Linked DNA regions of Caenorhabditis elegans. The protein of the gene in region 2 purifies or fractionates together with the protein of the main gene of each other region. This does not show direct contact. Each region holds a gene or a part of one and is shown on either strand. Other genes may lie near its edges. The genes, in order: nol-56 and fib-1.

Region 1 (5,125 bases), 4.7 Mb from region 2:
GTTCTCGACACGATCTCCATAATTTTTTATCTACCGAAAGTTTATCAAGTTTTCCATTCAAGACTGAAGCATATGAATTTCTACATTCCAAATTGCACAAATGGCAAGAGTTACCAAAAAATAACGCTTCCAATCAAAAACTTTTGGCTTCTAGAGATTTTTTCTTCAAAAGTAGTACTATATTCTGAGCTTTTTTGCAAAAACAAAGTTAAAATAAGTTTAGCTTTTTATAATTAAAGTTCTTCTCCATTCTTTTTTTAATGAATAAAACCTGTACCTGTGCAAAAACCGTAACGAGAATTGAGACGAAAATGACAAAAAGCCGGCAATTCATTTTGTGTAGGAAGACCAAAGAAAGAGAATACTGGAAATTAATAATTATTTTGAAAACAGATCTGAAAATAAGACAGTATCAATAAAGGCGACTAATGAAATTATTATTTACTCTCTAAAAGAACGAAAAGGGTTGTTTTCCCGACCTATTATGAGACTGACTGAGTCTCAACTGACGTGTTGTGCATTTTCTAAGCTCCAGTCTTGCTCTCTTGGCCCCGCCCTTCTCGAGATTTTGACGCCGCCCTCTCATTCTTAATACACGGCTTCGCGTAGTGTAGTGAACAGAGCACTTTCGAACATTACTCGCACTGAAGTTTATATGTGAAGTCAATTCTAAAACATTTACGCTGGATTATACAAGTTTATTCATTAAGAAGAAAACAGAGTAACAACAAGATGTAGGGGTCCAACAGTCAACAAAAACAAAATAGTTCAACATGGGGGAGTTACATTCATAAAACAAAAAAGATCAGTGGTGTAGTGATGATGAAGATTACTCGTCTCCAGCCTTGCTCTTCTTCTTCTTCTTTGGCTTTGGAGCATCCTCGTCAACCTCAGCTTCAGCAGTTGCAGTGACAGACTCTTCAGCAAGACGCTTGGCTTTCTTGGCAGCCTTCTTCTTCTTTTTGATGACCTGAAATACAATTTTTAATTGATTGTTTCCTTAAAAGATAGATCATGAGTTTAAAATGAGAGAAACCCAGCTAAAAATTCTTCAATGGATAATTATATCGCATGCAAGCTAAACGGCCGAATTAAAACAATTTGCCCGCATTAAATACATGCTAAATAGGAAATTTGCGCAAAACTGTACCTTCTCCTTAACCTCAACGGCAGCTTCCTCGGCCTCCTTCATGACGTCAATGTTTTTCTTTGGAACAGTTCCGGAGGTGAAATACTCAAGTCTATCCTCAACCTGTTGGCGAAGGAATTCTCCATATGTCGAAACTGGAGTCTCGGAGAAGCAATCCACACGAGCAGCAATGGAGCACTTGTTAGCAAGATATCTGGACACACGACCCTTGTTCTTGGTTCCAGCTTTTCCAATGAAGCTGGAGTGGAAGAGAAGTCCATACTTTGGAGTGTTGGCTGAAAATGTACCAATTTCAGAAAAATCATAGACTCGAATATGACCGAGTGCAGCGAATAAAATCTTCAATAGAAAATAATTTTGCATGCAAGCTAAACGGCTGAACTAAAATCATCCACCCGCATTAAATACATGCCATCAATTAATGATACATTTTTCATGACTTACATCTGGTCTTCAAGGCACGGAAAAGAGCCTTCTCTGCTCCGAGGATTTGGACAGTGGACGCTGGATACTTGGCCAAGTTGGTCAGCGAACCAGCATGCGAGATCAAGCGAGCACCAACTTGTTCTCCGATAAGAGCACTGAGAGAAGGAGCACAGTGGTCCATACGATCTTTAATGTACTCGTGAAGTTGTTGTCTATACTCCATGAGAGAAGAGACACGAGCGGCGAATCTCTTGATGTTCTCAAGATCGAGATCGGAAATATCCATTCCCATTGATGTTCTGGCCGCTTCGATGATCTGAGCGGTTTTCTCGGAATCATTGTCAAGAATTTCTGAAAAAGGAAAGAATATTTGTGGGACACACAAAGTGACCGAAAACATCAAAACATTCTCGGTGTCTGGTTGTCTCTATGCTTTACCTCTCATTTTACTAGTGAACTTAACAAAATGCTAGTCCCCCGGCTTATAAGAGAGGTTACCCAAAATCTACATTTTGAACTATAATACTTACCAAGAATCTCATTCTCGAGGTTCTCATTTTCAGCCATCTTGTTTCTGTCCAAGATAGCGACAGCAAGGCGAGAGTACTTGTATTGATCTGGAGCCAGACGGAAGAGCTCTGGATAATGGTAAGAGTACCATTCACGGATTCTCATTCCAAAAAGATTGATATCCTTGTCCAACTGATCGAGAAGGGCAATCGATTGAATAACCATGTTGTCCACACGATGCACATCGAATTTGACCTATCAAAAAACATTTAGAGAAAAAAGCGCGATCGAGGTACGCACCTTCGAACGAGAGTAACTATGACCGAGAGAAAGCTGAGCTTTCGATAAGGAGTGATGTGGGAGATTTTTGGCCAAACGCTCGAAATGAACACGAGTACCACGCAGAATCTAAACTCAAAATATGTGTTTTCGTCATCGGTAACAGATTCAGGTAAACTCCAAAGAGTTTATTGTGAATCTTCACGTTACCTCGGTGATAACACCTCCGAAGACAAGCTTCAGATCTGGGAACGCTTCAGTAAGCGAACCCGCAAGCTTCGAGTCATTGATTCCAAGCACAACGTGTTTTTTCTTTTTTGGAAGCGACTTTTGAAGAAAATTAGTGAGATCAGGGTGGGCGAGACCTAATAATTAAAATAATTACTCCCCATCAAAACTTATCGGTCTTTGTTACCTTCAGAGATGGAGTTGCAGTTTTCCAATGCAGCTTCGGTGTTTTTGAACGGATCAAACGAAGCAAGCTCAACGATTTGCGAGAACTTGTATCCATCAGCATGAGCGGCATCGACCTGAAAATGCGTTAATTTAAGCACTAAACTGTGGGACATACGAAGTGACCGAATATATCACAACATAATCGGTGTCTGGATGTCTCTATAATTTTCCTCGCGTTTTACTAGTGAACTCAGCAAAGGCTAGTCCCCCGGCTTATAAGCGAGGATATTTTAAAAATACTTTTTTCGAGCGAACGTACCTCTTGGAGGATAAGACCAGCATCATCAAACTCCTTAATCTTCATGAGAGCGTATCCAGCTGCATGCTCATAGAGCACGAAGTGGGGAACTTCCGACATGGTGTAAGAACCTGAAAAATCATTTATTCAAGAAAACCAAAAAGGGTGCAAAAACTGTGAGACTTTAAGTAAAGAAGAATTGATAGAACATTAATGTAATTGTTTATAAATACATCTTTCCTTATCATTCCAGTAATAAATAAATAAATAAAAACCGAAATTGGATCGATAAGTATCAAAAATAGGCCGGAGAAAAAATAAGGACGAATCAAAAAGACGACGGCGTACCTCTTTCGCTGCGAGACCTATTCGCAAAAGAGTGTGTGCCTTTACTACTCGTGAACTCCACTCGGACAAAATAATGGCAGTGGAGAAAATTACGCCAGTAAAACGTTTTATTAGAAATTTCTATAGAAATGAAAAAAGACGAACGAAATATTATCGGGAAAAATCGAAATTTTTCTAGCCGTTCACCAGAATCGATGTGCTTAGAATTTATTTTCAGAATGTAAATAAATCCAGATCAAGAAAACATGACGTGGAGGTTTTTGAATGAACGAATATACTGAAGCACGTATTTAAAAATTATTTAACACGAAGTTGGGCGCAGACGTTCGAAAATGAATTATTGAATAAGGGCATTTTGTAAAATCGGAATTAAAAAAATAATGGTGATCATGAATTGAATAATTTATTGAATAGACTGAATACAAATGTTTCAACAAACAACAATAAAGAGAAAAAACTACGGAGACGACTTCAAATAATTACTTGGTGTGTTTCTTCTCAAATTTGGAATTCATGTAGGCTGCCATCGGATCAGCAGAATGAACACTTGTCACACGATAAGCCTCCATTTCTTTTTCGTTCGGTGCAGTGTTGGAGTAGTCAGTGTTGTATTTACGGCCGCGATCACCCTGAACAAAGTATTTTATATTTTGAATTTTCAAGGAATATAATAGTACTAAGCGACCCGGATAAAATTAGTATTGGTAATCTTACCTCTCTTGCAGCTTTCATTCCTTCGGCCTTTTCCCGTTTCGCCTTCTTCATAGCTTTACGCATTTCTTCATCAGAATCAGATTCTGAACCACTTCCCGACGAAGGATCGCTTTCATCGTCCGAATCGCGATGACGCCTCTTTCTTTTCCCCAGCTTTGCCTTCTTGCGTTCACGCTTTTCACGTTTTTTATCACGACGCCGCTGGTCCCGTTCTCTTCGTTCTTTTTCAATTAACCTTTCCTTCTCGCGTTCTTTTTCTTTTTCTTCATCGTCACTTGGTGGTGATGGTGATATGGACTTCTCTGATACTTTTTCCTTTTCTTCGTCATTATCATTATCACTGTTTTCTTCTGCTACTTCATCCTTGATGGAATCTTCCTTCTCTTTTTCTTCTTTAACTTCAGTCTTCTCTACTAACTTCGGAACTTTGAAAATTTCTTCGTTTGAGGTCGTTGTACCTTTTGCTGCGCTCGTTTCAGCTTCAATTCCCTGCTTTCCCGTACAATATGAGTTCTTGACGAATTGATGACAGCACTTATATCCCCACCGACCCTCTCTCCAGAAACTTCCGAACACTGATGTATGATTTTGGGGATATATATCTTCTTTGAAGCGAGAGCTAATTGCTACTTTTTCCTTTCCCTTGATAACTTTTCCTTTCCGATTGTATTCGATATAACTCTCAGTTTGTGCCAGTAGCAACTCATCCGCAGGCCTTTCCATGTGCTCACCTCCTCCGTATTTGTCTAATAACTCTTTCTGTGTTTCGTTTTTCAGAGTTGATTTTTCCTTCTCATACTCTTTTTTCAGTGCTTCTAACTTTGTAGGTTCAGCAATCGAGTGAGCATATACTCCACCACGAGTGGCTTGCCATGCAAAAACTTGGGCTTCGTTTGCTGCTGTTACTTCACCAGAATATCGAACAAAATTATCTCCAGAAAAACGAGCTGCTTCTAATTCTTTTCCAGCAACACCAGCAAATGGATTTTCGCGCATAGAACGAG
Region 2 (3,814 bases):
ACGTCCGAGTGAGTCGGCAAACTCACTGTTCCCCTTCAACTTCTCGGCATTATTAATGATAACAAAACGTAGAACAGATATAAAATCATCCAACTGTTCCATTTCATTCTTCAGCTTATCGATATACTCTTTGATTTTTTTGAATGAACCAATGAAAACTCTAGATCTATTCGATGTCATGAATTCATTTGACAGCTCAGTTGTGTCTAGATTTGTTATATGTGTATTTGGACGAGTGGAATTAGAACTTCTTCTCTTGTTGAGTAGGCCTCTCATTACAGATTTCGAGCGTTTACCGTCTGTAGTTATAATAATGCATCGCGGAAACGGTTTCTGAAATTAGAATCAGTTATCACTTCCACTAGCTTGGCTAACCCTATGCGAACGAAATCTGTCGATGGAGTGCAAGATGGGTTGTCCGTAGTAAAACTCGTGATTTGGGCCTGAATGAATGCAAAACAAATGTTCGCCGTTGTGAAAACGCCCGAGACTGCAATATAAAGCATCTTGCAATGTTCTCCATGGACTGTAGCCTCGGCGGCCACTGAAAATATGAATGTATTTTCAGAATTAACGACGGGATCGAATGACCTGATTGAAAACTTCATCAGCTTCCTCGTTATTTGCAGCGACCCGGTTTCAGACGATCTCACATACGCTACTTCTTCAAAGTATTAATTTCGATGGTATCTTTAGTATGATATTTCAAACCTTCTCTTGAAGCTGCCGGTCCCCACTCTGGGTTATGCGCTCGAGCCTGGAAAACATGAAATAATTGCAGTCATTCATTAATCTCAACTTCTTTGACCGAAAAACATGATCTCCTTGCATTGCCCAATCCATCAAGATCAAAAGCATTCACGACACCTGAAATGAATAAAATAAATATCCCATTTAGCTCATCAAAAATTGTCACCCATGCTACATATGCCGATTCCATTGGAGTTATCCATTTCTTTGATACTTATCTAAATACTTCCATTCAAATCCTGTTATTTAAACCCGTGCGCGATATCTGAACAACTCCGGAGTGTTTTTCAATGCTCGACTCGCTCCAGCAATCGATAAACAGAATGGGAATCGGTTTCGCTGCGTTCAAAACATCGGCCGGAATATTCTGGTTTCTGAGACAACGAAACGTGAAACATCTATCAAGTTTTCAACCTTTTTTCGAAGCCATGATTAGTATCATAATTTAAAACCTGTTTTTTTGCTTGACGTTTTTGCATATTTCAATCAAAACCACCTTTCATATCGCTTTGATTTTCAATTTTAGAACAAAGCCCCGCCTACAATTGCCTGATTTCGTTCTACGCGAGCTGTTTGCTTGCGAATCGATAAAGTGTCGGTTGTGTGGCAAGTGCGCTCCACTGTGCAGGTCTCGCAGCGATTGCCATTTTCCACCGTAGTTCCCTCCAATGTCTTCTCCATTTTCGTAATTTTTTGGTTCGCCCAAATTTTTTTTCGTCATTTTTTGCCTGAAATGTTCGTTTCTTCTCAATTTTTCTTGGATTTTAAGAGTAGATTTGAGAATAGTGGATGATTCTAGTCGATTCAGATCGACTGGAGCGTGATTTAAATCCATGACTCTAAGTGAAATGGGATAATTCTCAATCTTACTCGGCTCTCCCACGGCTGAGGTATGTATTTTTCGTAATTTCGCTTTTCGTTTTTGTTAAATAATCGATTTTTGTAGTATGGGACGTCCAGAGTTCAATCGTGGCGGCGGCGGCGGAGGTAAACTGAATTTCAGGATTTTTTCGTATTATAAATATTATTTTTCAGGTTTCCGAGGTGGACGCGGTGGAGACCGTGGTGGTAGCAGAGGTGGATTTGGAGGCGGTGGTCGTGGAGGATATGGCGGAGGTGATCGTGGCAGTTTCGGTGGAGGTGATCGCGGAGGCTTCAGAGGAGGACGCGGAGGTGGAGACCGCGGTGGTTTCCGTGGAGGAAGAGGCGGTGGTGATCGGTTTGTGTTTTATAATTCTGTTCGCCATCAAAACGATAATTTTTCAGAGGTGGTTTTGGTGGCCGTGGATCACCAAGAGGAGGATTCGGAGGACGTGGATCTCCAAGAGGCGGAAGAGGATCACCACGTGGTGGACGCGGAGGAGCCGGTGGAATGCGAGGAGGAAAGACTGTCGTTGTCGAACCACATCGTCTCGGTGGAGTATTCATCGTGAAAGGAAAGGAAGATGCTCTTGCCACAAAGAACATGGTTGTGGGAGAGTCCGTGTACGGAGAGAAGAGAGTGTCCGTCGATGACGGAGCTGGCTCAATCGAGTACCGTGTGTGGAATCCATTCCGTTCTAAGCTCGCTGCTTCCATCATGGGAGGATTGGAGAACACTCACATCAAGCCAGGAACCAAACTTCTCTATCTCGGAGCTGCTTCTGGAACTACTGTTTCCCATTGTTCTGACGTCGTTGGACCAGAAGGAATCGTTTATGCTGTTGAGTTCTCTCACAGATCTGGACGTGACCTTTTGGGAGTTGCCAAGAAGAGACCAAACGTTGTCCCAATTGTCGAAGATGCCAGACATCCACACAAGTACCGCATGCTTGTCGGTAAGTATTAAATTTAAGCATTTTTGTGTTTAATATTTATATTACAGGAATGGTCGATGTCATCTTTTCTGATGTTGCTCAGCCAGATCAAGCTCGTATTGTTGCTCTCAATGCCCAAAACTTCCTTCGCAACGGTGGACATGCCGTCATCTCTATCAAAGCTAATTGCATTGACAGTACTGCTGAGCCCGAGGCTGTATTTGCTGGTGAAGTCAACAAGCTGAAGGAGGAGAAGTTCAAGCCACTTGAGCAGGTAACCCTGGAGCCGTATGAGAGAGACCACGCTGTCGTGGTTGCTGTCTACCGCCCAGTCAAGGGAAAGAAGGTCTGATCTCCAAAATCATCGTTACATTTTTTTGTTTTGTTATTTTGTTACATGTATACCTCCATCTTGATCGTTAACACTTGTTTTACTTGTTTCCCAATAAAATGTTGTTGATGCTGTCATGTTAGGGATGTTTTACTTTTATCTTTACTTGGTTCTCAACCTTGCCGATATTTCTATTCTACTTTAATTGTAACCTTTATTTTGTTCTTTGTTTAATATATTATTACAGGGTAATGACGTCTACCGTGCAATCGGTTCAGACCTTCGGGCGCAAGAAGACTGCCACCGCTGTCGCTCACTGCAAAAAGGGACAAGGACTTATCAAGGTCAACGGTCGCCCACTTGAGTTCTTGGAGCCACAGATCCTGCGCATCAAGCTTCAGGTTTTTGTTCCGACATTAAATTCCAACTAACTTGTATTTTTCAGGAGCCACTTCTCCTCGTCGGAAAGGAACGCTTCCAGGATGTCGACATCAGAATCCGTGTTAGCGGTGGAGGACACGTTGCCCAGATCTACGCTGTCCGTCAAGCCCTTGCCAAGGCTCTCGTTGCCTACTACCACAAGTACGTTGACGAGCAGAGCAAGAGAGAATTGAAGAACATCTTCGCCGCTTACGACAAGTCCCTTTTGGTTGCTGACCCAAGACGCCGTGAGTCCAAGAAGTTCGGTGGACCAGGAGCCCGCGCTCGCTACCAGAAGTCTTACCGTTAAATTCTTTTTGTTGCACAATAAAATTGTTATTGAAAAAAAAGATTTATGAGATCGAATTTAAAAAGATTTAGAAAGTGAAGCTGAGCAAAAGCATATCAAGGACAAAAATGAATAGTATTCCGGCGATGAGGTCCAATCTTGAGTGTTTAGTTTTTCTCGTGTAGGCAACTTCGAATTGTTGTATTGGTTTAGAGCTTAAAATTCAAT

Evidence for each region.
Region 1: the proteins of fib-1 (region 2) and nol-56 purify together in Caenorhabditis elegans (affinity purification with mass spectrometry; 2 studies listed by BioGRID, with this or other methods). This does not show direct contact.

What each region holds. Positions count from the first base shown.
Region 1 is NC_003283.11:10,349,789-10,354,913, forward strand, and holds nol-56 (Nucleolar protein 56), read right to left. Parts: upstream 3,191-5,125; 5' UTR 3,180-3,190; coding exon 3,081-3,179; intron 3,049-3,080; exon of another isoform or gene 2,922-3,048; intron 2,896-2,921; coding exon 2,781-2,895; intron 2,731-2,780; coding exon 2,576-2,730; intron 2,495-2,575; coding exon 2,387-2,494; intron 2,342-2,386; coding exon 2,107-2,341; intron 2,075-2,106; exon of another isoform or gene 1,945-2,074; intron 1,928-1,944; coding exon 1,595-1,927; intron 1,566-1,594; exon of another isoform or gene 1,430-1,565; intron 1,426-1,429; coding exon 1,151-1,425; intron 1,125-1,150; exon of another isoform or gene 992-1,124; intron 971-991; coding exon 830-970; 3' UTR 683-829; downstream 1-682. Other genes in the region: nssp-62 (Neuropeptide-Like Protein), read right to left, coding at 278-334; sluh-7 (Pre-mRNA-splicing factor SLU7), read right to left, coding at 3,887-4,036, 4,122-5,125. UniProt on the Caenorhabditis elegans protein: Required for 60S ribosomal subunit synthesis.
Region 2 is NC_003283.11:14,999,852-15,003,665, reverse strand, and holds fib-1 (rRNA 2'-O-methyltransferase fibrillarin), read left to right. Parts: upstream 1-1,556; 5' UTR 1,557-1,640; intron 1,641-1,696; 5' UTR 1,697-1,697; coding exon 1,698-1,737; intron 1,738-1,785; coding exon 1,786-1,969; intron 1,970-2,016; coding exon 2,017-2,567; intron 2,568-2,614; coding exon 2,615-2,898; 3' UTR 2,899-3,013; downstream 3,014-3,814. Other genes in the region: mut-15 (MUTator), read right to left, coding at 1-333, 376-544, 592-664, 712-757, 800-867, 917-953; rps-16 (Small ribosomal subunit protein uS9), read left to right, coding at 3,129-3,278, 3,323-3,607; T01C3.11 (uncharacterized protein), read right to left, coding at 3,675-3,801. UniProt on the Caenorhabditis elegans protein: S-adenosyl-L-methionine-dependent methyltransferase that has the ability to methylate both RNAs and proteins. Involved in pre-rRNA processing.